2 linked regions of the Stegostoma tigrinum genome follow. The protein of the gene in region 2 purifies or fractionates together with the protein of the main gene of each other region. This does not show direct contact. Links are inferred from orthologs where the notes say so. Each region holds a gene or a part of one and is shown on either strand. Other genes may lie near its edges.

Region 1 (15,621 bases), on a different chromosome or scaffold from region 2:
GCAGGAAAGTCGACGTTTCAGGTTGGGGCCCTTCTTATGATCTCAACTTTCCTGCTCCTCTGATGCTGCCTGGCCTAGTGCATTCCTCCAGCTCCATAGTGTCTAGTTTGACTGAAACATCTCCAGTTCTTGCTATCTCTTCCCTATGTAAGCTTAAGGTCATTAAAGAAATATTTTAATTACAACAGTTAACAATACCTGGTGTATGTAAACAATAGCAAATACACAGTTTACATAAAAACTTAAGGCTATTTAGAAATCAAGATTTATTTAGTTTTACCACCAAGACAAATCTAAATTGACTGACTGCTATTCAGTCAATCTCTGAAAATGCTATTAGTACAAGAGATTTAATTCTTTAGGGCAATTAAAAGTTGCAAAATTATTTAAGCAACTACAACATTTGTTCTAGCAAGCAAAAAGACTTCACTATAGCCATAAGCTCCTGCTCAATCACATAGACAGGACAGAATGCACATTCAATACCCATAACACAGCACAGGAGACATTTTATGCTCTTAATTGTTAACAAAGGCAAAAGCATTCAAGTCCAATTTTATGCCCATGTCCTCCCCTCAACCCCAATTATTGGAAACATCAGCTACATCACAAATGTAAACAACCAGGTGAGTTAATAAATCACATGGGCGGAATTCAAAAAATAAATTTGAATACGATTTGTGTTAACCTAAGTGATTAAACTTAAAAAAATTTGAAGGATACTGATCTGATAGTAAATAAGGAAAAACTCCACGAGCACTGATTGGCAAGATTTAGCATAACTGATGAAGAGCCAAAAGGAGATAAATACAGATATTTCTGCAGTGAGTTACAATTATCAGTAACATATTGCCTGAAAGCTCCCTGGAAGCAGACACCGAAAATTTTCAAAAGGCAATTAGATATACATACACTGCACAAGAAACAAATAGAGCAAATGGAGAGGAGCAAGTTAGTGAAAGTAACTGGATAGTTCAAAGAGCCTACAAAGGCATGATGAGCTGAATGGATTCCTATTGTTTTGCATGTACAATTCAATGGAAGGTATTATCACTTGACTTTATCAAGTTAAAAGGTTTTGGTTATTGCAAGCTATTTCAGAATTAGCAATGGAAATGTCAGAAATGCATTCTATCACAAATCATAGGGTGGAATCAGGAAATCAAAACAGCAAGGTAGTAGTGACACTGTACCACATTTCCACTGAATGAACCTCAAGTGCCAAAGCAAAGTAACAATTTTATTGATAATAAAATGTGAGGCTGGATGAACACAGCAGGCCAAGCAGCATCTCAGGAGCACAAAAGCTGACGTTTCGGGCCTAGACCCTTCATCAGAGAGGGGGATGGGGGGAGGGAACTGGAATAAATAGGGAGAGAGGGGGAGGCGGACCGAAGATGGAGAGTAAAGAAGATAGGTGGAGAGGGTGTAGGTGGGGAGGTAGGGAGGGGATAGGTCAGTCCAGGGAAGGCGGACAGGTCAAGGAGGTGGGATGAGGTTAGTAGGTAGCGGGGGGTGCGGCTTGGGGTGGGAGGAAGGGATGGGTGAGAGGAAGAACAGGTTAGGGAGGCAGAGACAGGTTGGACTGGTTTTGGGATGCAGTGGGTGGGGGGGGGGGGGGGGGGGGGGGGGAAAGAGCTGGGCTGGTTGTGTGGTGCAGTGGGGGGAGGGGACGAACTGGGCTGGTTGAGGGATGCAGTAGGGGAAGGGGAGATTTTGAAACTGGTGAAGTCCACATTGATACCATATGGCTGCAGGGTTCCCAGGCGGAATATGAGTTGCTGTTCCTGCAACCTTCGGGTGGCATCATTGTGGCAGTGCAGGAGGCCCATGATGGACATGTCATCAAGAGAATGGGAGGGGGAGTGGAAATGGTTTGCGACTGGGAGGTGCAGTAGTTTTTTGCGAACTGAGCGGAGGTGTTCTGCAAAGCGGTCCCCAAGCCTCCGCTTGGTTTCCCCAATGTAGAGGACGCCGCACCGGGTACAGTGGATGCAGTATACCACATTGGCAGATGTGCAGGTGAACCTCTGCTTGATGTGGAATTTTATTTGCCTTCTTGAGAAGAAACTATGTAGCATGAGTGGAAACACAACTGTTGTTAGTAAGCCATCAAAATAAACCCAATGGCATAGATCAACAGAAACAAAGTAGGGTCAAGACTAAATAGGTGCCAGATCAACATGCAGGAAATTAAAACAGCAGTGAAATGTAAGTAAACAGTACGACTATCTCATTAGTGAAATATTACAACATTACTAATTCAATGTTGTTTGGAGACAACTGAGATCATTTGTAAAGACATTCATTTCAACCTCAGCACAAGCAAATTCACAAAAAATTCTGAACTGAAGAAATAAATTAGTTACAACTCCTCTCTCCCATGTTGCAACAATCCCAAGATCATTTTACATTAAATTTCAAAACATCAACAATAGGAGGGAAGATACAGCCATAGTGACCAAATAGTGAAATCCACATGATCAGGACAAGTTGCTAAGCTGTTTAAGAAAGCGCATGAGTATCTCTTGCCCTTAAATAGAGAAAAATAAACAAACAGGAAGGAGCTCATGCTACAATAACTTAATCATTTTCACCATAACTGAAGTACTATGGAGAATTCGAAACACATTTCAGAAATGCATCAAAAGCTATACAAAGAGTTTTAAAAAGTGAGAGATGAAATTGAGGGACTCCAGCAATTACAAGATTTTAGAAAGGTTAGGACAATTCCCTCTGGACTGCGAATAATCAGTAAGAGGTGACCAATAAGGGTTTAACATGATGAGGGGTTTTGATTGAGTAGGGAGAGAAACACTATTCCCTCTAGTGATTGGGTCAATAGCCACAAACCATAGATTTAAAAAATCACTGGTGGAACAGCAGCAATGGATATAAGAAATTTTGAAATCAGTTGTCACAGTCTGCAACACTACCTGAAAAAAATATTCAAATCTACTTAAACATTTTAAAAGCCAGATCCACAACTACTTCGGTATAAGAAACGTATAGGGATATAGAAAAGCAACACATAGGTATGCTTCCAAAAAGCGCTATACAGGCACGTCAGGTTAATTGGACTCCACATAAGTAGGAAGAGCAGTGGAATTGGACCTGGGCTCCAAAATAGTTTAAAGCACACCTAATTTAGGAATAGCTGTATTTACATAATTGAAGTCTAAGAAAGCTCTGGCACTGCATGGATCCAAAAGGAAAATTAAATTGCGCTGTGCACTACAGACAAAATCTTTCCTCCATGTTTCAGAACACTTCCCTGCCCAAAGCCATATAAATAAATAATCTACAGCATCCATTAAGTTCAAAGGCACCATGTGGGAGAAGGTCGAGCCCCAGAGGGGGTAAAAAAAAAGCCGTGCATTTGATATTTTTATAACCACTCTTCAGGATCAGGGTAAATGACAGAACCTAATTTCTAAACTGATACATGCTTCCTTACAAATGCAATTCCACAAAAACCAAAGTGTTTGAACCAGACACATCAAATCAAAAACATTTCAATAAAAAAGAAATTAAATTTTTGAATAAACGACACACCAATACTTATTATCCACGAGTGCACCCTACCTAATAAAGTTCTGTATCAGTGAGTGGATCAAAGTATTTTTCACATAGGCCTTTCTATTGCTTAAGTAATATTCATGCTTGTGTAACTTCACCTTAATTTACAACCAAAAGAAAACACTACATCACAACACTAAGTCAGGAGGTTTTAACTGGCACGATGAGCATAAATACAGTAATGTCTAAGAAACTATACCATTTTTCCAAAAGAGTATTTTCCAAGAACCCTGGTGGGACACAGCATTGATCTGAATTGGCTATACTTATGCCTCATATTTTAATTAACCACAATGGCCTACTGCCTCTGAGGTTATTAGATCAATGTGGTCAGGTCCTCAGAGTACAACAGCAAGCCATGACAAGGAAGTATTTTCACACAAAAATATGGTGTTATTAAAACTTCCAGTTGGCTATGTACTGTTTCAACCAAATAAACCAGGAATAATATTTACACAAAACATTGTCTTGGCATGGAGGCATTTCAGTTGAGGGTCTTCCCTGCTAATCTTTAGTAAAAGATTCTTATTATAAAACTAGGAATAGTTAGTTTGACAACAAAAAAATAAACTTAGCAGAACAGGAAAGCAATTTAAACAATATGTTATACTAAAGCTATTACTTGTGAGAATTTTTAAACAGAGCTGATGATGTAATGGTCATTTAGGCTAACATCTATCCATTATCAGCAGCATGACTACCCCAGGAAATGAGATGAGATTTCTGGGATTTAAAAGCCAACCACAACAAGCATACAAAGATCTTTTGCCGGAATACTTTGCTGAGATAATAGTCATACACTTTATACTATCCATATTAATGACGTGTTTTTAAAAAGGGAGTTTCTTCAACAGAATAGCAAGTAAATAGAATGCCCTGAATGAGCATATCTGCAAGTTTATTCATCAAATAGAGCTTGTAAATGTCTTCTAACCACTTGTTCAAACATATGATTCCACACGCTTGGAGTAGGTGAGACTTGTTATTGAGGCGTAAGCCTGTTAAAATTAAGAAATCAGTTTTAGTTCAGATACAGTTGATTTCAACATCTGTAGACCAAGGAGGAAACTTTTCTCTTCTAATCGTCATTCAGCAAGCCCTACTGTAAAATACATGAAATATTGGGCAACAAGTTTGGGCCGGGCTGAATTGATCACAACAGTCAAAGAGTGAAAATATTTATAGTGTCTAGACTTGCATGAAAAATGACCATTCGGGCAAAAGAATGGAAATCTGCCAAAGTCTGTGGAATGACAACTCAGCTTAAAAAAAATCTGCCTGAGGAGAGTAACGTGTTGTTAATTGAAGACAGCTGTTTATCCACAACTTGCCCTGGTCATTTTTCAAAAGATATGTATAAACTGACATATAAAATAAACTTTTATCAAAATTACACCTGCTGCATATATTTTCAGTAATTTTCTTCCCAGCTGGATGCTGCAATTGCTGGTGCTGCCATATCTACCTTTACATTTTAGGGCATATTACACAGCAGCAGAAACAGTTTTGCAAGCACAGGCAAGAAGTCTGGCCAGTTGTAGCAGGCATAACGTTCCAAAAGGGAAATGGAAGAAAACATCTTCAAGTTGTTCTCTATACTTAGAGTAGTATTGCTTAATTTACTGCACAGCACTCCCAATTGCCATCAAGTATTTGCTACAAAGGACCTCTGAAAGACTTCATTACAATTATAAAAGCATAAGCACATCTGAACAAAGAGAAAGATCCATTAGCATCGCCAGACTTCGATCTCAGTTTTGCACTCAGTACTTGCTATACGTCATTTGTACTAGGCATGCCAGTACACAATAAGAAACGCAAGCTACAATTATCTAATCAAAAATACAATGAACAGGCTTCAGGTCCGTTCCAAATTTAAACACTCTTTATAGCCTTACAGCCTGCACAATTACCTAATCGTCTCCACTCTCCCGAACCCCAATAAATTCACAGCCTTTGCCATATTCTTAATTGTATCCAACTAGTTCCTGCTACACCCAATTGTCGTGACTCCTCTTCTACCTTTATCCTCTCCTCGTCTCTCCTTCAGTTCACTAAAATACTGGAATTTCGTTCCTTCTATCAGTCACAGCCCACTTTCCCTAAAGCCTCCACCCCATTTGTTTAACTGTTCTCTACCCCCACCCGTTTTCGCTCGCCTGGACCTCTCTATTTCCCAGTTTTTTCTCTTTCCCTCCAAATCTCCACCCTCATCTCCTCCATCCTAATTCCGACCAGTGACCCGAAGCATCCTGCGGCCTCCGTTTTCCGGACGATACTCAGTCACCTCTCCTGGTACTCCTTTCTCTCTACTATCCCACCGTCCACACCACTGCCCCCCAAATCTCTGCTTCCTCTCCCGCCCCCTCCCTCTACGGACTCGAACTTGGACACTCTCTCATCACCACTATCCTGAAAGATCACACTCACCAAACCATGCCATAAGCTCCCTCCCCGATGTAACTGAGGTTAGTGTATCGCGGCCCGGTGTCGAACACCTGCCCACGAATCACTTCAGGCCCGGTTGCGCACTGAGGCAAAGTAGGCGCAGCAGCCATCTTACTCAGATCATCCGGAATGACCAAGGATCGTGGCTATTGGACAGGCAGGCACATGTGACAGGGAGGAGGTTGATTGGACCACATTGAACCACCTGATCCAGAACCAGCGGTTAGCGATTCGATTGGATGGTGCTGGGCACGTGACTCAAGGCGGAGTGGGGTGATTCAATTGGACGGTGGTGGACCACGTGGTCACAGCCGCGGGAGCTACGATTGAACGGACGAGATTTGATCACGTGATCTAAACGAGCTGGGGTGTGCTTCGATTGGACGGTGGTAGGCCATGTGATCCAAAGTTGAGGGACGACGGTTGAATCGCCGAGTTTGATTTCGAGGTGAAGAGCCAAGGGAGGGGAAATGAAGTGTTCATATTTTATGTAGTGACCTGTTTCCAAACGTTTCCTGAATCTTACAGTTAATGAAGTACTTGTGAAGCAAATTTAATGTGTTGAAAGAAAGAGCGATTTTTATGCACAGCAAGAACCTGTACAAAGCCTTAGGGTAATGACCAGGAGGGGTATGTTTTTATATCGCTCACGGGATGAGGCTGTCGCTGGTCAGACCAGCGTTTATTGCCCATTCCTAATTACCCAGAGGGTAGTTAAGGGTCAACCACATTGTTGATGACACTGAGCTGGGTGGCAGTGTTTGCAGTAAGGAGGATACTAAGAGGCTGTTAAGTGACTCTGACAGACTGGCCGAGTGGGTGAATATTTGGCAAATGCAGTGTAATGTGGATAAATAGTATCAGAGATAATGGGAACTGCAGATGCTGGAGAATTCCAAGATAATAAAATGTGAGGCTGGATGAACACGGCAGGCCAAGCAGCCGAAGGGTCTAGGCCCGAAACGTCAGCTTTTGTGCTCCTGAGATGCTGCTTGGCCTGCTGTGTTCATCCAGCCTCACATTTTATTATTAATGTGGATAAATGTGAGGTTATCGGCTTTGGTTGCAGAAACAGGAAAGCAGATTATTAGCTGAATGGTGGCAATTTAGGAAAAGGTAAGGTGCTGCGAGACCTGGGTTTCATGGTGGAGTAGTTGCTGAAGGTGCAGCAGGTAGTGAGGAAAGCTATTGGCGTTCATTGCAAGAAGATTTGAGCATAGGAGTAGAGATGGCTTGCTCCATTTATACCTTGGTGAGGCCACGTCCTAGTCAGAGGAAGGATAATCTTGCCATTGGGGAAAGTTCAGCAAAGGCTCACCAGACTGATTCCTAGGCTGTCAGGACTGACATATGAAGAAAGATTGGATTGACTGGGCTTATATTTACTGGATTTTAGAGGAAGGAGCCTCATGGAAACATAAATTCCTCATGGGACTATACAGGTTAGCTGTGGGAAAAATGTTCCCAGTGCTGGGGAAGTCTAGAGTTAAACATCACAGTCGAAGAATATGGGATAAGCCATTCAGGACTGAGATGAGGAAAAACTTTCTTCACTCAGAGCGTTGTGAACCTGTGGAATTCTCTCCCACAAAAAATTGTTGGAGCCAGTTCATTAGATAGATGCAAGATGAAGCTGGATGTGGCCCTTGAAACTAATGGGATCAAGGTGTATGGGGAGAAAGTGGAATGGGATACTGAAATTGCATGATCAATCATGATCGTACTGAATGGTGGTGCAGGCTTGAAGGGCCAAATGACCCTACTCATCCCTAATGCACCTACTTTCTATGCTTCTGTGTTGTGAGTCTGGAGTCGTATGTAGACCAGACCATGAATTCCACGAATTCATGGTGGCGTTCGAACCCAGGTCCCTGAATATTACCTGGATCTCTGGATTAACTGTCCAGTGATAATACCTTTTTTAATTTCAAAAACATACTTTATTCATTAAAAAATATCTTTTATACACATATAGTTACAAATGCAGTTCAGTTCTGTACAGTAGCATATCAAGGAAGTAAACAAACATTGGAGTTTGACCGTATCCAAACAAACCACAGACGTCTCTTACATGTACAAGACTATATTTACATGCATTTGAGGCACTAGGAGGGTCTCATAATTGAACAGACACCTGTTTGACTTCAGAAAGACCTCAGACAGTGGCGTCATGGCAGCAGTTGCCCCAAACTTTACAATATCCCTGAGCACATAGTCCTGGACCTTGGAATGTGCCAGTCTGCAATAGTTGTTCTGGAAGACCAACAAGTTTTGGGCAGACCAAAGAACGTCTTTCACTGAATCGAGGGCTCCAGGTGCAGTTGATGTTTGTCTCAGTATGGGGGACAGACCATAGAGTACAGAGTCCTGTGTCCCAGAGATGCTCAGGATGAACCTTGCCAAAAACCACTGTGTCTTTCTCCAGATTGCCTTTAAAAAACCACATTCCAGAAGGTGTGTGATAGTCTCAACGTCCCTGCAGCTGCTTCGACCGCAGCATGCAGTGGCGCAAACCAACTAGGTGTACATGAAGGATCTCTCAGGTCGTGCCCTTCTTACCATCAGCCAAGTGATGTCTTGGTGCTGGTCAGAAAGTTCTAGTGATGAGGCATTCTGCCAAATGACTTTGACAGTCTGTTCAGGGACCCACACGACTGGATCCACCCTCTCCTTTTCCTGCTGTGTCTTGAGGATGCTATGTACTGACCACTTCGTGATTGACTTGTGGTTTTTATTTTCTTGCAAATTTCTCCATGAATGACACCACAAAGCCATCACATCCCCTTTTTCAGCTGGCTAGATTGTGATGTGGATTGATGCCAACAAGGCATGTTCAGTTTCAACACGGTTGAGGTTACCATGAAGGTCCTACCTTCTCAACCTCTCCCCTCACCTGATGCATGGTGACATCTGGTTAAACTACCACCAGTCATTCTCTCTATAACAAGAGAGCAACTGTACAGTCTTCTGGCAACTTTATCCTTCCAACATAGGCAGTGTATTTCTGATCCTAACTACTCACTGCCCAAAAAGACTTTTCTTCACGTTGCCTTCAACTATTTTGCCAATTGCCTACAAGCTGCGATCTCCAATTCCGGATCCTTCCACCAAAGGGAATAGTTTCTCTCTCTTCTTGAGACCTTCATTATTTTTGGTTTGGAGCTGAAGGCTATCTTTGATCTGTCAGCAGCAGCATTTTTTTTTAGAAAGGGAACAACCATTTGAACATTTGTTCAAACAAAAATATTTGTTTCAGACCAGGCCTGGAAATTAATTGCAGTTGGATTCTTCTTCAAAGTGCTGTAGAGATATTTTGGTCCCAAAGATGCATTACTCTCAAACAGATGGTAAATGTTTGGATGTAGATGGGGCCTCATGGAGTTATGGTAGCAGTCAGCCTAAGAGAAATAATGTTAAGAAAATCCAAAAGAGAAACTAAGGTTTGCACAGATTTTGAACTGTGTTTTTGTCACTATGATTATGGCTGCCAAAGCTACAGCAAGGATGTATGACTACAGTATTATTATTGTCCAATTACCAATTTATTGAGACTTCAGAGAATAGAATTTCAGTCATAAGAATTAAGCGACTTTCCCTTGGAGCTTACAGGAAACTGTTTGCATTGATCGGTGTCTTCAGAAACCAAGCAAGCTGCAATCCTATGCACCTGTGATGCTACAGGGTGGAAACAGGTTAAATGAATTTGCCAGTCACTTTTCATCTGTTTTTTTTTCTTTTAATTTATCCTTTAACTGTGTCTATCTGCTTTTGTGCAAGTGGAGGTCTAGAATCAAAGAAGATTGGGTTTAAATTACTGTTTTACCTTGTTTAACTTTGCTCTGCTAAAGCTACTGTGTAATTAATATTTTTTAAAATTATTTTAGGTTATGAACTGTGAGGTATTCAAAAATTCTGGTTATGAATCATTGGGGCAATTTTGTGGGTCATGGAATATTCTAATTTTACTGTGTTGTGAATACGAGGAAAGGGAGGCTGATTTGATTTGACTGTCAGCCTCCTTCTGTAACACAATTCTGTCTAAGCCATTCATGATGTTGAACACCTATCAAAACAGCAGGATGCATAGATCCCTTAAAATGGCCACCCAAGTGGACAGGGTTGTTAAGAAGGCATATGGTGTTTTGGCTTTCATTAACAGGGGGATTGAGGTTAAGAGTCGTGAGATCTTGTTGCAGCTCTATAAAACTTTGGTTAGACCGCACTTGGAATACTGCGTCCAGTTCTGATCGCCCTATTATAGGAAAGATGTGGATGCTTTGGAGACGGTTCAAAGGAGGTTTACCAGGATGCTGCCTGGACTGGAGGGCTTATCTTATGAAGAGAGGTTGACTGAGCTCGGACTTTTTTTCATTGGAGAAAAGGAGGAGGAGAGGGGACTTAATTGAGGTGTACAAGATAATGAGAGGCATAGATAGAGTTGATAGCCAGAGACTATTTCCCATGGCAGAAATGGCTAACACGAGGGGTCATAGTTTTAAACTGGTTGGAGGAAAGTATAGAGGGGATGTCAGAGGCGGGTTCTTTACACAGAGAGTTGTGAGAGCATGGAATGCGTTGCCAGCAGCCGTTGTGGAAGCAAGGTCATTGGGGTCATTTAAGAGACTGCTGGACATGCATATGGTCACAGAAATTTGAGGGTGCATACATGAGGATCAATGGTCAGCACAACATCGTGGGCTGAAGGGCCTGTTCTGTGCTGTACTGTTCTATTTTCTATGTTCTATCTTTCTGTCTTCTGAGAATATCCTCAGCATCCTCAGTCTACTCACATGACTGGAGCTCCTGGCCCTGAAACCATTCTAATAAATCTTTTCTGTATCCTCTCTAAGACCTTCATAATGTGATTAAAATGTTTTGCATAGACTTAGAAACTGTATTCCAGTCATAGTGGAATCAGTATTTTATATAGATTCATCAGAACTTCCTTGCTTTTGTAGTTAATAAAGTGGAATATCGAAAGAAGCAAATTAAAAGCAGATTTGCTTCTCTTTGTACACCTTTGTAAATAAATCACCAGGTCTAGAAGAAATGCATCCTGGGTTGTCAGTGGAAATTGAGGAGGCTTTAGTGACACATTTGTTTCCACACATGCTGCGAAACTTGAAGTACTTACACAACTTTGTCCTTTTACTTGATTTCCAGAATCTGCTGTACGTTGCTTTTATATTTGCTTTAAAGGAGCTCTTTGGAGCAGTGGATATATGCAGCAGTTCTAGGTTCAAGTTCCACTCTAGGACTTGATGGTCCAGGAAGTTGGTTCAAAAAGCAGCGAAACAGATTGAGTAATCAACTTGTATATCTTTCCGTCAAACACCAATGGCAGCCACTAGGGCCAGGAGAAATTCCTGGTCAGCCAGATATGAAAAGAAAATTGAAATCTCCACCACCACTATATGTAGCTCAGGATTACCATTTGCATACAAAAGTGAATGTTGCCACAGTAACTGGGCTGTCTTTGGAGGCTAGTTGGCTCAGTGAGCAGTGACCTGGCACGGATCAGATTAGTGTCATTGGCATATGTTCAGTTTTTATTCCAGCTAGCATGGTTTTTGACCTGTTTACTTCTCTTACCTATGGAAGAGGTGGTGCATTGGGTCAGACCTGTCTTCAGGCCAGGAACCCAAGGAGAAGATTAGACACCATCAATAAAGTACAAAAACCCCTGTGCTTTTCAATCAGTTATCAAACTGCAACAATTTGTTGCCAAAATCCCTAGGTCACTGTTTTCGCTGCCCAGTTAGAAGTGATTTATATGGTATTGCCTCCCCTGCCTATCAAAAGTATAATTTTGCACTTCTCACTAAAATTTCTTATGCCTACCTGAGTGTCTTCATCCTCTTGAAATCTGTCACTTTTCTTTTTGCTGTTCTACATACTTTCAATTTCTGAGATATCTACATGCTTTAAAATTGTGCCCTCTGCGCCCAGGTCATGGAATAATAGAGCTGAACAGCAAGGAAGCCAACCCTTAGGTCCAATTCATCCATGATGACCAGATATTCCAAATTAATGCAGTCCCTCTTGTCAGCATTTGGCCCATGCTCCTCTAAACTCCCCTTCCTATTCATGTATCCATCCAGATGACTTTTAAATGTCGTAATTGTTCCAGACTTTACCTCTTCCTGCAGCAGCTCATTCCATGCACGCACAGTCCTCTGCGTCAAAATGTTTCCTGATAGGTCCCTTCATATCTTTTCCTTCTCACCTTAAACCTGTGCCTTCTCATTTTGGACTCCCCAATCCTGGGAAAATGACCTTGGCTATTCACCCTATCTATGCCCCTCATGATTTTAGAAAGTCACATCGCAGTTTCCGATGCTCCAGGGAAAATAGCCCCAGCCTTTTCAGCCTCTCCCTGTAGCTGAAACCCTCCAACCCTGACAATAAGAATCTTTTCAAGTTTAGCAACATCTTAACCACTCACACCTCTTAAATACTAACATATATATCTCAAAAAAATTGTTGTCCTTGTATTAATCTAGGGAACCTCACTGTTCCTTATTTGTCACATAGCTGTTCACGCTATTCTCTGTTTTGTCACTGAACCAATTTCACATGCATGCAGCCATTTGGCTCCATTGACTTCATCTTTGCTGACAAGCTTGTTATGAGACATATCTACATACATCACATCGTTGAGTCTTTTTGTGCAGTGCAGATGCCCCTATCTCTGGGCCAGAACGTCTGGTTTCAAGTTCCACCTGCCCCTTAGGTGTATCATAACATTATCAAACAGGTTGATTAAAAATAATATATATCATACCACTGCCCTCAACAATTTTGTCCTGGGGCTGGCTTCCCTTGATTCATCTACACTTTTCTGAATGACTGTTAATTTTGTTTCAGGTTATCATTTCTAAAAGTTTTGCTTACCACCAAGGTTAAACTGACTGATTTATTGTTGCTGGGCTATGAATCAAGGATGTAATATTTGCAATTCTCCAGTCGTTGAGCATCACCTGTGTATAAGGAAGATTGGAACCTCAAAGCCAGAATGTCACCCTTACTTCCCTCAGCAACCTAGGATGCATCCCATCCAGGATTAACCTTCCAAGTCTGTCACCTGAAATGTTAATTCTATTTCTCTCTCCACAATCAGCAAGATCTGCTTAGTATATCCAGTATTTCTGTTTTGATTTCAGATCTGCGTCCAATTTAGAGATTTGCCTACATTAAGTATAGCCAGATTTCCAGGTTCCCAACTACCACTTTGTTTCCTGTGACTTTGGTAGTTTCTTCTTGGTGAAGACAGATTCAAAATACTTATCAAGCACATCAGCCATGCTGTATACCTCCTTTTTTGTCCCCTGATCTAAACACAGGAGTAGCAGGGATGTTAGTAAACAGTTGTTCATGTGAAGAGTAGAAGAAATCTGGAATTCTGTTCCCCAAAAAGATATTGAGCTGGTAAAGAAATTTAAAGTGACAAGGCTAAGGTTAAATCGTTCCCATTAATCAAGGATGTCAATGATTACAGAATACAGGAAGTAAAATAGAGTTAAGATATGAACCACCGTGAGCTAATTGTGCACTGGAAGAGATTTGAGGACTGAAAGACCTGGTCCTATCCTTCCGAAATCTACCGATGTTGCTTGAGAGAGAAAAAAAATGACTGGACACCAGGGAGATCTCCTTGCTCCCCTCTGAATAGGGCTATGGTATTTTTTTCATGTCCACCTGAGAGAACAGAAAAAGTTTAATGTCTTGAATAAAAGATGCTATCTCCAGTGGTGAAGAATCCACAGTGTTATACTGAAATGTCACTCAAATTACATGTTCCAGCCTCTGAAGTAGGAATTGAACTCTCAGCCTTCTAAGTGACAAGGCAAGATTTGACATATTATTTGAGTAGCTCAAACTAAAATATATTTCCAGCACTGAAAGAGGCCATTGATTTAACTGGTCAGTGCTGAAGTTTCTTCTCCACATGAGCTTCCTGTCACTCTGATGACCTTTCACATGCCCAATATTGCCTTTTTATTCCCTCTCATACTAGCAATTGAGGTTAAATGTATCAATGTTATCTAGTTTGGCCAATCCATGTTGCAGTAAATTCCACATCCTTAACGCTCCCTGAAGATAATGCTTCCTCCTAAATTTTGTGGTTACTACATACCAGTGTCCCAATGCTCTGTACTCATGAATATAATCAAAGCCTACATGTTTACAATATCATTCCCCTGCGATAATTTAAAGACTGCTGCAAGGTGTGATCTTTGAGCAGACTACCGCACTCTTCTCTATTTTCCTGATAGTTTCATCCTCTCAATCCTGGTGACCTTCATTCAACTTTCCCCTATTGGTCAATACCTTACATGTGCTATGGAGACCAAAGTGTGTGATTCAATAAGCATTCTTTTAAAATTTGGCTTTATCTCCACAGAAAACTTTTCAAAATTTAATTGCAGCCAAATGCAGAGTGTTGCATAGCTGCTACAGCATTGAAATTGGTCATTTGACCAAACGGCTTTATGCTCCACATGAACCTCCTCATATCTTTATTCATCTAAGCCTATCGACATACTCTATCTTTTCTTCCCTCCTATGTTTATGTAGCTTCTTAAATATTCATTTATGGGATCAGTAAGCTTTGCACGATCATGAAACAGCAATTACATATAGGGTGGGGCACAGCCCTATATTTCCAAGATTTTGGAGCAGCATGGGAGTTTGTGTAGAGTGTAAGATGTGCTTTTTCCATCTTTCTTGCTTCATTGTTCGTAAGGTTGTTTAGCTAGATAAATTTACAAAGAACAGGTTCTATTTTCCTTAGAAACTGAACAGGATTAGAGAACAGATTTATGAGGCGGCAATGATTATTGCGAGGAAAGTAAGACCAATAACATTAAAATCAGCATAATTTACTGTTCAGAAAATCCACGGAAATAGCTGGTGCAGATCCAGGAGGCCAAATGGTTCCCTTTTGTGCTGTACAGTTCTATGATTCTAGGCAACCCACTTGTTTCTATAACGGAAGCCCACTCAATAATAGCCATGTACCTCACATGAAGTAGATTGAATTTGTACTTTGATTTTAATTGGCTTCACCATTAGGCAGCTGTAGGCATGTCTGCCAGAGCTTTAAACCAAAAATTCCCTCAGCCTCTTCACCTGAACCTTCCCTAAGCCTCCTCAACTTGTCTTCCCTGCAATAAAAACACTCCTTCCCACTTCTTAAAACCTTTAGCTTTCACCAAGGTTTTGCTCATCCCTAATAGCTCCTTATTCATTGAGGCATCAGATTTTGCTTTAAAATTCTCCCATGGTTTTTGTTTTACCAAACTCCCTATGCCTGGACAAGTTGTAAAACAATAGCCAGATTAAGTCCGCACAGAACTAAAAATCCTTTTCTGTGAGCTATCTCTGATACACTGACCACAGAGTTCAGGAGCAAGATTATAACCCCCTCAACTTCAGTCACTTGCAAGTTGAAATTGTGCCCACATTTCAGTTTCAGAAAATGAATTGAGCTGAAACACAGAACAATTTTTGGTTTCCAGTGACAGTCTCCATCAGCTGAGATGAAAACACAAAACAAAAGCTACTGGATTATATGCTGGTGAGGTATTTGAC
Region 2 (15,650 bases):
CTTCCCCCACTGCATCCCAAGACCAGCCCAATTCGTCCCCTCCCCCCACTGCAACACACAACCAGCCCAGCTCTTCCCCTCCACCCACTGCATCCCAAAACCAATCCAGCCTGTCTCTGCCTCCCTAACCTGTTCTTCCTCTCACCCATCCCTTCCTCTCACCCATCCCTTCCTCCCACCCCAAGCCGTACCTCCATCTCCTACCCACTAACCTCATCCCACCTCCTTGACCTGTCCGTCTTCCCTGGACTGACCTATCCCCTCCCTACCTGCCCACCTATACTGTCCTCTCCATCTTCGGTCCGCCTCCCCCTCTCTCCCTATTTATTCCAGAACCCTCACCCCAACCCCCCCTCTCTGCTGAAGGGTCTTGGCCCGAAACGTCAGCTTTTGTGCTCCTGAGGCGCTGCTGGGCCTGCTGTGTTCATCCAGCCTCACATTTTATTATCTTGGATTCTCCAGCATCTGCAGTTCCTAGTATCATTGAGTCATTCTACATGAGTGCTGCTTCTATAAATGTAACCATGGCTGTTCTAAATTTTAATTCACTTGTCCCCCTCCCTACTAAAGGTTCTTTCGAATACTTTCAGATTAATTCAATACCTGTTCATCGTTATTATAACATCCTTCAGTTTAGCTGGTAAGCTTAAAAAAGAAATATCACAAAATGGTTTGACACAGATTATTGACCAGAATTTGCTGAAAATGTGCAAATCAGAGAGCAAGTTTGGGCAAGGAAAAATAATCTGTGAAATGGGAAGGTGCAAGGCAACTTATGCTGCTCTGTTGTTAAGATAACAAAGTGTGAAGCTGGGTGAACACAGCAGGCCAAGCAGCATCTCAGGAGCACAAAAGCTGACGTTTCGGACCCAGATCCTTCATCAGAGAGAGGGATGGGGAGAGGGTTCTGGAATAAATAGGGAGAGAGGGGGAGCCGGACTGAAGATTGAGAGAAAAGAAGATAGGTGGAGAGGAGGGTATCGGTGGGGAAGTAGGGAGGGGATAGGTCAGTCCAGGGAAGACGGACAGGTCAAGGAGGCGGGATGAGGATAGTAGGTAGGAAATGGAGGTGTGGCTTGAGGTGGGAGGAAGGGATGTGCGAGAGGAAGAACAGGTTAGGGAGACGGAGACAGGCTGGGCTGGTTTTGGGATGCAGTGAGGGGAGGGGACGAGCTGGGTTGATTTTGGGATGGAGTGGGGGAAGGGGAGATTTTGAAGCTTGCGAAGTCCACATTGATACCATTGGGCTGCAGGGTTCACAAGCGGAATGAGAGTTGCTGTTCCTGCAACCTTCGGGTGGCGTCATTGTGGCACTGCAGGAGGTCCATGATGGACATGTTGTGTGAGGAATGGGAGGGGGAGTTGAAATGGTTCGTGACTGGGAGGTGCGGTTGTTTATTGCGAACCAAGCGGAGGTGTTCTGCAAAGTGGCCCCCAAGCCTCCGCTTGGTTTCCCCAATGTAGAGGTAGCCACACCGGGTACAATGGATACAGTATACCACATTGGCAGATGTGCAGGTGAACATCTGCTTAATATGGAAAGTCATCACCCTCAAGAACTTCTCTTTCGATTGCTCCCACTTTCCACAGACAAAGGGGGTGGCCATGGGTACCCGCATGGGCCCCAGCTATGCCTGCCTCTTTGTAGGTTACGTGGAACAGTCCCTCTTCCGCACCTACACAGGCCCCAAACCCCACCTCTTCCTCCGGTACATTGATGACTGTATCGGTGCCGCCTCTTGCTCCCCAGAGGAGCTCGAACAGTTCATCCACTTCACCAACACCTTCCACCCCAACCTCAAATTCACCTGGGCCATCTCCAACACATCCCTCACCTTCCTGGACCTCTCAATCTCCATCTCAGGTAACCAGCTTGTAACTGATGTCCGTTTCAAGCCCACTGACGACCACAGCTACCTAGAATACACCTCCTCCCACCCACCCTCCTGCAAAAATTCCATCCCCTATTCCCAATTCCTCTGCCTCCGCCACATTCGCTCCCAAGATGAGGCATTCCACTCCCGCACATCCCAGATGTCCACGTTCTTCAAGGACAACTTTCCCCCCGCAGTGGTCGAGAACGCCCTTGACTACGTCTCCCACATTTCCCGCAACACATCCCTCACACCCCGCCCCCGCCACAACCACCCCAAGAGGATCCCCCTCATTCGCACACACCACCCCACCAACCTCCGGATACAACGCATCATCCTCCGACACTTCTGCCATCTACAATCCGACCCCACCACCCAAGACATTTTTCCATCCGCACCCTTGTCTGCCTTCCGGAGAGGCCACTCCCTCCATGACTCCTTTGTCCGCTCCACACTGCCCTCCAATCCTACCACACCCGGTACCTTCCCGTGCAACCACAGGAAGTGCTACACTTGCACCCATACCTCCTCCCTCACCCCCATCCCAGGCCCCAAGATGACCTTCCATATCAAGCAGATGTTCATCTGCACATCTGCCAATGTGGTATACTGTATCCATTGTACCTGGCGTGGCTTCCTCTACATTGGAGAAACCAAGCGGAGGCTTGAGGACCACTTTGCAGAACACCTCCACTTGGTTCGCAATAAACAACCGCACCTCCCAGTTGCGAGCCATTTTAACTCCCCCTCCCATCCCGCAGATGACATGTCCAGCATGGGCCTCCTGCAGTGCCACAACGACGCCACCCGAATGTTGCAGGAACAGCAACTCATTCCGCTTGGGAACCCTGCAGCCCAATGGTATCAATGTGGATTTCACCAGCTTCAAAATCTCCCCTTCCCCCACTGCATCCCAAAACTAGCCCAGTTCGTCCCCTTCCACCCCCCCCCGCCACTGCATCACAAAACCAGCCCAGTTTGTCCTCTCCCCCCACTGCATCCCAAAGCCAGCCCAGCCTGTCTCCGCCTCCCTAACCTGTTCTTCCTCTCACCCGTCCCTTCCTCCCACCTCAAGCTGCACCTCCATTTCCTACCTACTAACCTCATCCCACCTCCTTGACCTGTCTGTCTTCCCCGGACTGACCTATCGCCTCCCTACCTCCCCACCTATACTCTCCTCTCCACCTATCTTCTTTTCTCTCCATCTTCGGTCCATCTCCCCCTCTCTCCCTATTCATTCCAGAACCCTCTCCCCATCCCCCTCTCTGACCAAGGGTCTAGGCCCGAAACATCAGCTTTTGTGCTCCTGAGATGCTGCTTGGCCTGTGTTCATCCAGCTCCACACTTTGTTATCAGGATTCGCCAGCATCTGCAGTTCCCATTATCACTTATGCTGCTCTGTTGCCAGGATTGCATAAATTATGCCAGCATTCCCTGGAATATAGAAGATTGAATAATAATTTGATTGAGACTTTTAAGATTTTAAAATAAATTGACAAGACAAATTTATTTTGTTTGCAGGTAGGGAGTCTCAGAAAAGAAGACATAACTTTAAAATTTATTGTTTGTAGAGAAGTGAAGAAGCTTTTTTCATGCAAACGATGGTAGAAGCATGGAACTCAGTCTCACAAAAAAAAAGTAGACCCTGGCTCAACTTTCAATCTGCTTTTGAGTTTGGATAATACATGATTTCACAAAACAGTTGAAAAGTCTTGAATGGGTGAATGAACTGCTCCTGTTCCAAGATTCCTAATTATCCATGAAATTCTGCACAGCAAAGTTACATGCAGTGATTAAGAGAATAAATATCTTTCTAACAATGCAAGAACTGTTACAGAAAACCAATCAATTCACTCACCAGAAAATGAATAAATCACAATGCGAGCCTCTTTTTCAGGTAGTGAATTTTCAGAGAATAAAATGTTCCAAAGCTTAAAAATTGTTTTGTTTTGTTTCATTTTTTCCCCTCTTGATGTCTTAATCCAATCTTTCTTCCCCTCTACCGGATTTGGCACTGAATTTAGCAATTTTAATATTTATCTTCTCAATCTTTCCTCATCTTATTTCTCAATTGTTAAAACCCACTGGTTAAAGACATACCTTGTTAGTCCTGTTATTCACCAAATTGCGGATACCATGTTCCTCTCACATGGTTATCATCACTGGGCACTTCCAGCAATTTGGTGGGCATAAAACACTGAGCTGGAAGATTCAGACAACTTAAGCACCAAGTTACCAGATTAATTGAAATCAATTATTAAAATTATAGCTCAGAAACATGAGAAGTGTACATCATTATTTAGTTACAATAAAGATCTTGTAATGAAAGATTATTGGTCAATTTAGGTGGAACATAAGAAAAATAAATTTGGACTCTTGATATTCATTCCCTGATGGCTGTATTTGAAAACAAAAACTTTCATTTAGATCCAGCAGGAGGAGAACTAATTTCTTTGGTTTGCTTTTTCAAAATACAAGCAAGTAGAAACATCAGCAATTTCTCCTAAGATGCATGTAAACTTTTTTTTCATTCACAGCATGAGGGCTTTGCTGGCTCGGCAGCATTTATTGCCCATCCCTAATTGCCCCAGAGAGCAGTTCAGACTCAACCACATTGCTGTGGGTCTGGAGTCACATGCAGCCCAGATCAGGTAAGGATGGCAGTTTCCTTCCTTAAAGGATATTAGTGAACCAGATGGGTTTTTCCAACAATCGACAACGAATTCACAGTCATTATTAGACTCTTAATTCCAGATATTTTATTGAATTCAAATTCTGCCAGCTGCCATGGCAGGATTCAAACCCAGGTCCCCAGAACATTATCTGGGTCTCGGGATTAACAGTCCAGCAATAATACCACTCGGCCATTACCTCCCCCTATAAAAATACATTCTTAGGTTTCATTATTGACGTCTGTCAGTGAAGCAAAGGCAATGGTACTTTTTTTTAAAATCAGGTTAGAAAGATTGCTTTAGCCAAGCTTAAAATTCCACATACATGCACATTTAATACATTTTAATGTTAATTTTGCTTTTCTAAATTATCAATGCCACAAATATAGTAGTCTGAAAATTGTTAGCTACCTAATTATACAAGTTGCATAATTATTATTTTTTAAACTAACAAATTACTTTTGCTATGAATGCTATTCCAAATTAATAATAATTCTACCACAATTTGTCAATATCCTTTACTTGATAAAGAATGGAAACATTTTATGAAGTTATGTCAGTGTAGTGCATATATTGGAGTAATTAGTCAAGTATCAATTAGTAACTTTTTTCAAAATAAAAAGTCAACAAGTAATACCATGAAGAGTATAATCCTTTTACAGCTTGCTCGTCTTCACTCCATCGGGATGGATTCTCATACTTGCATGCACGACCACCACATGCCATTGAGCACTGCATATGGCCTGGGATAACATGCCGCAGGCGTTCTCCAACTTTGGTATACTTGGCTGTTGGACGTCGCATACTGCCTGAAATGAAGAAACAGGCAATCAAGTACATTTCAAAGTGGCAAGGTAATAATTGTAATTCAAATGAATTTATTTAAGGACTTTGTTTAATCAAGCTGTGAAAATAGTTGACTCTAACATTTATTTTCTTGTAGTAAACACATACTAATTGTTAGACAAAATGTCAGAATACAAAAGGCATAGCATTGGAAGATTTGAAACAAATTATTTAATTTACTTTAAGTAAACAATCAACTTTCAAGCATACCATTTTATGCCTGTAATAATTTTACAAATTACAAGACTAATGCAGCGCAGGAATACACATCAGAAATTCAAAATCAGGTTTCCCAAAACTTTCCATTTAGTAAAATCCCCTATATCAGCCCATGTTGGGAGGGTTCAAGTTCTCTCATAATATTAACCCTACAACATTTAGTGCACCTTTATAGACTAAATGTACAATTTATATACATCTATTTCACAATCACTATTTGAAATTTGGTTTAAAAATAAATTGCAGCTTTATCAACATCCAAGACACACTTCTATAAAAACATGCACGGAACTGTGGATGTAGTCAAAAATAAACAGTTGAAACAAAATACACCAAAAAAACTAAAAATGTTGCAGTTTGAAATGTATGCATATATCTATTATAGTGAAATCCTAAATAATAACATCAAAGTGAAGTACTTCTTCCTGGTAATAGGCTAGTTTTAGCCTCTTCAATACTGACTGATGATACAGCAACCATAACCTGGTGAGATGTAGATGAAAGCATCTCGATGGCTGAGCTCCGACGTCTCTGCAAAACTCTGACCAGGCTATCAGAAGCAGAGCGCCTCTGACTCTGGATGAAGCCGCTCAAATACTCTACTGCTGAATGCCTTCTGGAAGATCCCTGCATGATGATTTGCTTGAAACACTCAAGACTGCCACCACTGAACAGCTACAGCTTGCAAAAAAAAACAAGATTACAGGGAAGTTACACTGCAATCTAATGATATTCTGATAGACTACATCAGTCCTTTAGGAGAGGCTAAGGAGTTTCCATAGTAACAACTAGCAGAGCCAATTATGATAGTCCATGTCATGTCATGTTGCAGTTTGGGAAAGGTATCATTCTATTCGGCAATATCTTTGCAGTTTAATAGACCAATTGTGCAGCTGCTTCATATATCAGGTTTGGAAGCTTTGTGTTTGTGTATATCAATGTAGCATGTTAAATAAAATGAATTATTCTTTGATCCATTCTGTAAATGCAACGGAATAATAAACTTGACAGGAAAAAAGAAATCAGTCTTTCATGCATGTGCTAATTGACAAAGAACCTCACAGTATTAGCTCACCTTCCTGCACTAAGTTTGTAAATCCAGCTGATCAGTCTTTTTTCAGTTGACAAATAAAATGCTCTATGAATATGGCGAGCTTCTGCCTCGATCATCCTTTCAGTTACTGAATTCCTGGTCCCTACCATGTGGGTGAAAAAAAAACATTTTGCTATCTCCCCTCTCACCCTTCAACCATTTACTTTAAAGCTATGCCCCTGTTCAGAAAAGTGAGGGGTCTGAAGTAGAATTTGCTCCCCTGCACCAGGAGGGAATTGCCTGGTTCCCTCACAAATTGACAATATGGACCATTGTTTTTCTAACAAAATCAGTACTGTGCATTACTAATTTATTCACAGCATCATAGAATCATACAGCATGGAAACAGACTTTTTGATACAAATAGTCCATGCCAACCATGTTCCCGAACTAGACCAATCCCACCGGCCTGTGTTTGGCCTGTGTCCCTCCAAACCTTTCCTGTTCCTGTACTTATCCAAATGTCTTTTAACTGTACTTGCATCCCAATTGTTCTAATTTACACTACAGTATTAAAATAAAGCTAAACTGAATTCAATTTCACAACTAGCAAATATGAATTTTGAACTCACTGCCTCTGGGTTGTTAGTTCAGTAAAGTAGCTCAGCAAGTTTATTAAAACATGAAATATTAATTTACCTTTGTCTGAAGTTACAATATACCTCCTATGTTCTAATGAAGAGTAAGGCAGTTCAGGATGTAGGGAAATTCTTGTAGCCATGGCAGCATCTGTTGAAATATACATAGATATCTAATTTATTGTAATGGCACACACGTGCTATGTTTGCTCCTAGATTTCCCATAAGACACCTTACCTATCATGTTTTCCATTATATGCTCATCGAATCAGGGAATTACGTCCCTTTGTCAATATTCCTGGAGGGAAACTCAGAAAATATGATTAACTCTAAAGAATAAACGTATGATCATTTAGCAGCCGACCTTAACATAAATTGCATTTATTTCAATGCAAGAAGTCTGACAGATGAACTTAGAGCATGGTTGGGAATGTGGAATATCATAACTATTAAAGAAACATGGCTCAGGGAGGTATAGGACGAGCAGCTTAATGTTCCAGGGCATCGATGCTTTGGGAGGAATAGAAAGGAGCAAGACAAGATAGGAGGGGGATGGTGTTTTTATGTAAGGATAACATTTCAGTCGTACTGAGGGAGGATATTCCTGGGAAAACTTCCACTGAAATTATCTGGATGAAATTAAGAAATAAGAAAGGGATGATCACCTTATCGAGATTGTGCTAAAAAGAGTAACTAAAGGGAAGAATAGGGCCCCCTTAAAGATCAATGAGGCCACCTACATGTGGAACCAGAGGAGATTGTGTCCTCCCACAATAATTGGTGGGAAGTTGAGAAGCAAATATGTAAGGAGATCTCAGATATCTGTAAAAATAGTAGCGGATTTTAACTTTCCAAATGTACACTGGGACTGCCCTAATTTTAACAACTTGGAATAAGAGGAACTTGTTAAGTGTGTACAAGAAAATTTTCTTATTCTGTATGTGAATGTACCAACTAGAGAAGGAGCAAAGCCTGACCTTCTGTTGGGAAATGAGACAGGTCAAGTGAGCAAGGTATCAGTAGAGAAGCACTTTTAGGCAAGTGATCATAATTCTAAACGGTTTTAAAATAGTTGTGGAAAATTATAGACGTGATCTACAAGTTAAATTGGAAGGTGGCCAATTTTGATAGCCATGAGGTAGGACCTTTCAAAAATTGATTGGGGGAGGCTATTGGCAGGTAAGAGGATGATTAGAAAATAGGACGCCTTCAAAAATGAGATAATGAGATCAGAGACAGACACTGTGTTCCTGTTAGTGCGAAGGGCAAGACTGGTAGGTGTAGAGAATGCTGAATGGAAAAACTGAAGCTCTGGTCAAGAAAAAGGATGGGGTAAACATCAGGTTTAGATGGCAGAGATCGAGTGAATCCCTCAAGGAGTATAAGGGGAGTAGCAGTATACTTAAGAACTAAATCAGGAGAGCAAAAAGGGACACAGGATAGCTTTGGCAAATAGGGTTAAGGACGATCCAAAGAGATCCTACAAATACAATAAGGAAAAAAAAATAGTAACTAAGGGGAAAGAATAGGACCCCCTTAGAGATCAATGAGGCCACCTACACGTGGAACCAGAGGAGATAAGTGAGATTCTAAAAGATATTTTGTGTCAGAATTAACTGTGCAGAAGGAAGCTAGTGAACTTGGCAAAATAAACAGCAATGTTTTGAAAACTGTCCATGACAGAAGAGGAAGTGCAGAGGTCTTAAAATCCATAAAGGTAGATCAATCCTGCAGGACTAGATTAGATGTAACCCAGAGCTTTGTGTGGAAGGTAGGTAAGAGACTGCTGCCCCTCTTGCTGAGATATTTGTATCATCAACAGCCATGTGAGAGGTTCCAGGAGCTAGAAGGAGGCTAATGTAGTGCCGTTATTTAAGAACGGTGACGAGGCAAAGCCAGGGAACTAGACACCAGTGAGACTGAATTCAGTGTCAAGCAAATTGTTGCAGGGGATTCTGAGGGACCAGATTTACATTCATTTGAAAAGGCAAAGACTGATTATGGATAGTCAACATGGCGTTGTGCTTGGGAAATCATGTCTCACTGACCTGATTGTGATTTTTGAATCAGTTACAAAGATGATCGATGAAGGCAAAATGGTAGACGTTGTCTGTATGGATTTGAGCAAGGCATTTGACAAGGTTCCACATGATAGACTGATTAGCAAGATTATATCACATGAAATCAGATGCGCCAAGGAATGGCAGATGTGATAATGTGAGGTTTTGCATTTTCATAAGGCAAACCAGTGCAGGACTTATACAGTTAATGGTAGGATGTCAGGGAGTGTTACCAAACAAACTGACCTAGGGATGCAGGCTCATTGTTCCTTGAAAGTAGAAGTGCCGGTTGACAGATGAGTGAAGGTGGCGTTTGGCACGCTCACCTTCATTGGTCAGTGCACTGAGTATTGGAGCAGGGAGATCATGTTGCGACTGCAGAAGACAGTGACGCCACTTTGGTGTCCCTGCTATAGGAAAGATGTTGTTCAACTTAAAAAGATTCAGATAAGATTTACAAGGATGTTGCCAGGATTGGAAGGTTTGAGTTGTACAGAAAGGCTGAATAGGCTGGGGCTTTTTCCCTGGAGCATCAGGGACTGAGGGGTGACCTTTGAGAGATTTATAAAATCATAAGGGGCATAGACAGGATGAATAGCAAAGATCTTGTTCCCCAGGCAAGGGGTTCCAAAACTAAGGGGCACAGGTTTAAGGTGAGAGCAGAAAGATTTAAAAAGGGACCTAAAGGACACTTTTCCACACAAAGGGTGATGTGTGTATGGAACAAGCCGCCAGCAGAAGCGGTGGAGGAAGGCACAATTACACCACTTAAAAGGCATCTGGATGGGTACATGAATAGGTAGGGTTTACAGGGATGTGGGCCAAAAGCTGAGAATGGGGCTAGATCACTTGAGGATATCTGGTTGGCAAGGATAAGTTGGGCCGAAGGGTCTGTTTCCACGCTGTGTAACTCTGTGACTGCAAACGCTGTATTGTTGAGCCAATTACACTGCCTGTTCCATAGAGGAAAGCCGCAAAGCACAGGGTAAAATATAGCGTCAAGACACGTACTGTCGTGCATGATTTGTTTTAGCCAGTCCTTAAGACTTCTAAGTATTAAATGAGCTGCTCCGGAAAATAGATCAGCAGCACGAAATTGCCAAACTTCTTAAACAGCTCACGAGGATGACTGTGTGGGAAACGGAAATGCGACCAGGCAAAATATGAGAATTTGGTGTGGACTCTGTGGTAGCTGAACAGAATGAAGAGGAAAAAGTATGAAAAAATGTGGCGCTGGCATCCCAACAATAGTTGTGGTTGCATTAAACATTTAAAACTAGTAGCCTTTTGCTAAAAATTTGCTAAAACTGAATAATAATGATTCAGCCAGAGTTGTCTACATTTTGACGGTTCAAAATTCTTCCTGCCCTTTTGCCCCTGCTTGTCTGCAATTTATAAGGATGCTTTTTGGAGTCTACTCCTGTGAGGACAGTTAGAAAATAATGGTTCATAGCCTTCCATACTCCCCCCCCCCCCCCCCCAACAATGTTAAATTATTATTATTCAGTAATTTATCCAGTTTCACTTGTTAGTTTTCTTAGATTTGCCTAATTCTCCACTTTCCATATATTCTTCGCTGGTGTTTAATGTTTTTGCAATCTCCTAACCTATTTTTCTGTGTTTTCTGAAGTATATAGAAACATACATAGAAAAACAAAAGATAAGAGGAGTCTGTTCAATGCCTTGATCCAGCTCATTTATTCATTATGATCATGACTAATTACCACGCTCAATACTAGGGATAAGGATCCCACCCTCCCCCATATCTCTTGATCTGTTTAGTCGCAAGAGCTATATCTACCTCCTCCTTGAAAGCAAAACCAAGGGAAATATGAAATACCTCTTTAAATATCTGTCATTGCTTTTCCAGAAACCTGCATTTAACCTTTTTAACCCATTCCATTTCAACCAATTTTGGCTTTCAACACTGTTACTGCCTATACTTAAGTTTAAAAGTTCTAAACCAAATTTCTCACCTACCAATTTTTTGTAACTTAATGTGATATGTGAACATGCTACAATCACTCTTATCTAGAGGACTCTTTGCTCTGAGGTAATTTGTTAATTCTACCTCATTGCACATTACCAGTCCAAATTGGTCTGTTCCCTGGTTGGTTCTGGAATATATTGCTCAAAAGAAACTGTCCTGAATACCCTATGAATGCATTCTCTGTCCATAGCACCAGGGGTCAGCAAGCATAGTTTGTGACCTACACCAACCATATCGAAAGTGTCCACTGCAGGAGGAATATCTGCTTCGAGTTGATGAGCCGGACATTGCAATGAGTCAGGAAGTGTAAAATTACTGTGAGTTTGTTTCAGGAAACCATCACATTCCTCAAGTGCAGTATTTCAGATTACGTTTATGGTCATGGACAGGGAGATGCAACTGTAGGAAAGGCAGTTACGTGGATCTAAAAAAGGTATCAATGAGGAGTCTCAGCCTTGCAATTGTTCTATAGCTTTCAGGTTCTTACAGCTTGAGACAGAGAAAGGGGAAGATGGAGCGAGGAGAGACAGAAGGAACTACACAAAGGATGAACAAACCGATCCTTGCACTGTAGTTCAACAGGCCATTCAATCAGGGAATGCAGAACGCAGAATATAGAACATAGAAAATTACAGCGCAGTACAGGCCCTTTGGCCCTCAATGTTGCGCCGACCAGTGAAACCAGTCCGAAGCCCATCTAACCAACACTATTCCATTATCATCCATATGTTTATCCGATGACCATTTAAATGCCCTTAAAGTTGGCAAGTCTACTACTGTTGCAGGCAGGGCATTCCACACCCTTACTACACTGAGTAAAGAACCTACCTCTGACATCTGTCCTATATCTATCACTCCTCAACTTAAAGCTATGTCTCCTCGTGCTAGCCATTGCCATCCAAGGAAAAAGGCAATCACTGTCCACCATATCTAATCCTCTGATCATCCTGTATGCCTCTATTAAGTCACCTCTTAACCTTCTTCTTTCTCCCAAAAACAGCCTCAAGTCCCTCAGCCTTTCCTCATAAGACCTTCCCTACAGACCAGGCAACATCCTGGTAAATCTCGTCTGCACCCTTTCCAATGATTCCATATCCTTCGTATCACGCGGCGACCAGAACTGTACGCAATACTCCAAGTGCGGCCACACCAGAGTTTTGTACAGCTGCAACATGACCTCATGGCTCTAAATCTCAATCCCTCTACCAATAAAACCTAACACACCATACGCCTTCCTAAAAACCCCATCAGCCTGGGTGGAAACTTTCAGGGATCTATGCACATGGACACCGAAATCTCTCTGCTCATCCACACAACCAAGAATCTTACCATTTGCCCAGTACTCTCTATTCCTGTTACTCCTTCCAAAGTGAATCATCTCTCACTTTTCCGCATTAAACGCCATTTGCCACCTCTCAGCCCAGCTCTGCAGCTTATCTATGTCCCTCTGTAACCTGCAACATCCTTCCGCACTGTCCACAACTCCACTGACTTTAGTGTCATCTGCAAATGTACTAACCCATCCTTCTACACCCTCATCCAGGTCATTTATAAAAATGACAAACAGCAGTGGCCCCAAAACAGATCCTTGCGGTATACCATTAGTAACTGAACTCCAGGATGAACATTTCCCATCAACCACCACCCTCTGTCTTCTTACAATTTCTGATCCAAACAGCTAAATCACCCTCAATCCCATGCCTCTGTATTTTCTGCAATAGCCTACCATGGGGAAACTTATCAAATGCTTTACTGAAATCCATATACACCACATCAACCACTTTACCCTCAGGGCAGCACTGCAGCCTCACAGCGCCAGGGACCCGGGTTCGATTCCGGCCTCGGGTAACTGTCTGTGTGGAGTTTGCACATTCTCCCAGTGTCTGCGTGGGTTTCCTCTGGGTGCTCCGGTTTCCTCCCACAATCCAAAGATGTGCAGGCTAGGTGGATCGGCCATGCTAAATTGCCCGTAGTGTTCAGGGGAGTGTGGGTTATAGAGGGATGGGTCTGGGAGGGATGCTTCAGGGGACAGTGTGGACTTGTTGGGCCGAAGGGCCTGTTTCCACACTGTAGGGAATCTAATCTAATCTACCTGTTTGGTCACCTTCTCAAAAGAACTCAATAAAGGTTTGTCAGGCATGGCGTACCCTTCGTAACACCGTGTTGACTATCCTTAATCAAATTATTCCTTTATAGATGATGATAAATCCTCTGTTATAATCCTCTCCAACACTTTACCCACAACCAAAGTAAGGCTTACTGGTCTATTATTACCTGGGTTGTCTCTACTCCTCTTCTTGAACAAGGGGACAACATTTGCTAAACTTCAGTCTTCTGGCACTATTCCTGTAGTCAATGACGACATAAAGATCAAAGCCAAAAGCTCTGCAATCTCCTCCCTAGCTTCCCAGAGAATCCTAGGATAAATCCCATCCGGCCCAGGGGACTTATCTATTTTCACACTTTCCAGAATTGCTAACACCACCTTCTTCTGAACCTCAATCCCATCTAGTCTAATAGCCTACATCTCAGTATTCTCCTCGACAACATTGTCTTTTTCACGTGTGAATACTGACGAAAAATACTTAATGCCTCTACTATCTCTTCAGACTCCACGCACAACTTCCGACTACTATCCTTGACTGGCCCTCCTGCACACATTGGACAAAAACTGACCCATCTAAAGTACTCGAACTATAGCGTCTTCAGTCAATATGTGGAAAGTTAAAGTCCCCCATAACAACTACTCTGTTACTTTTGCTCCTATCCAGAATCATCTTTGCAATCCTTTCCTCTACATCTCTGGAACTTTTCAGAGGCTGTAGAGAACTCCCAACCTCTCCTTTCCTGTTTCTAACCTCAGCCCATTACTACCTCAGTAGACGAATCCTCATCAAACATCCTTTCAGCCACCGTAATACTGTCTTTGACTAACAGTGCCACACCTCCACCTCTTTTACCACCTTCCCTGATCTTACTGAAACATCTAAACCCCGGAAGCTGCAACAACCATTCCTGTCCCTGCTCTATCCATGTCTCTGAAATGGCCACAACATCAAAGTCCCATTTACCAACCCATGCTGCAAGGTCACCCGCCTTTATCTGGATGTTCCTGGCGTTGAAGTAGATATACTTCAAACCACCTTTCTGCCTGCCGGTACACTCCTGCGACCTTGAAACTTTATTCATGACCTCACTACTCTCAACCTCCTGTTCAGTGGAGCTATAAATCAGGTTCCCACCCCCCTGCTGAATTAGTTTAAACCCTCCCAAAGAACATTAGCAAATCCGCCCCCCCCCCAGGATATTGGTGCCCCTCTGGTTCGGGTGTAAACCATTTTATTTGTAGAGGTCCCAGCTACCCCAGAATGAGCCCCAATTATCCAGGCATCTGAATCCCTCCCTCCTGCACCATCCCTGTAGCCACATGTTCAAATGCTCTCTCTCCCTATTCCTCGCCTCCCTAGCACGTGGCATAGGTAACAAGCCAGAGATAACAACTCTGCTTATTCTAGCTCTAAGCTTCCACCCTAGTTCCTTGAATTTCTGCCTTATATCCCCATCCCATCCCTTTTCCTACCTCCGTCATTGGTACCTGTGTCGCTGGTGCCTATGTGGACCATGACTTGGGGCTGCTAACCCTCCCCCTTAAGGATTCCGAAAACACTGAGACATCACACACCCTGGCACCTGGGAGGCAACACACCAACCACGAGTGTCTCTCATTCCCATAGAATTTACGACCTGTTCCCTCTAACTATGGAGGCCCCAATGACTAATGCTCTCCTCCTCTCATCCATTCCCTGAGCAACAGGGACAGACTCTGTGCCAGAGTCCTGTACCCCACAGCTTACCCCTGGTAAGTCATCCCCCACAACAGTATCCAAAACGGTATACTTGTTATTGAGGGGAACGGCCACAGGGGATCCCTGCACTGTCTGCCTGTTCCCTTTCTGTCCCCCGACTGTAACTCATCTACATTTTCCTGTACCTGGCATGTGACTACCTCTCTTTAACTACTCTCAATTATGCCCTCATCCTCCCAAATGATCTGAAGTTCATCCAACTCCAGTTCCCTAACGTGGTTTCCAAGGAGCTAGGGTTGGATACACTTGCCACAGGTGAAGTCAGTGGGGATACTAGAGATGACCCATACCTCCCACATTCTACAGGAGGAGCATGCAACTGCCCAAACATCCATTCCCACTGTCTGAATTCCCAAACAGGCTGTGGACGAAAAAAAAACCACTAGTAACCTTACCAAATCAGCGCTCAAAAGGCAGAGAGATAGACACTGTTCTCTGTAGACAAAGAACAC

What was found.
Region 1: the proteins of protein tyrosine phosphatase domain-containing protein 1-like (region 2) and mapk1 purify together in Homo sapiens (affinity purification with mass spectrometry; 3 studies listed by BioGRID and IntAct, with this or other methods). This does not show direct contact. The link is inferred for Stegostoma tigrinum from reciprocal best matches to the Homo sapiens genes PTPDC1 and MAPK1.

The regions. Positions count from the first base shown.
Region 1 is NC_081379.1:44,395,273-44,410,893, forward strand, and holds the start of mapk1 (mitogen-activated protein kinase 1), read right to left. Parts: upstream 6,176-15,621; 5' UTR 6,138-6,175; coding exon 6,010-6,137; intron 1-6,009. UniProt on the Homo sapiens protein: Serine/threonine kinase which acts as an essential component of the MAP kinase signal transduction pathway. MAPK1/ERK2 and MAPK3/ERK1 are the 2 MAPKs which play an important role in the MAPK/ERK cascade.
Region 2 is NC_081364.1:27,305,303-27,320,952, forward strand, and holds the start of protein tyrosine phosphatase domain-containing protein 1-like, read right to left. Parts: upstream 6,317-15,650; 5' UTR 6,245-6,316; coding exon 6,031-6,244; intron 5,356-6,030; coding exon 5,184-5,355; intron 1-5,183. UniProt on the Homo sapiens protein: May play roles in cilia formation and/or maintenance.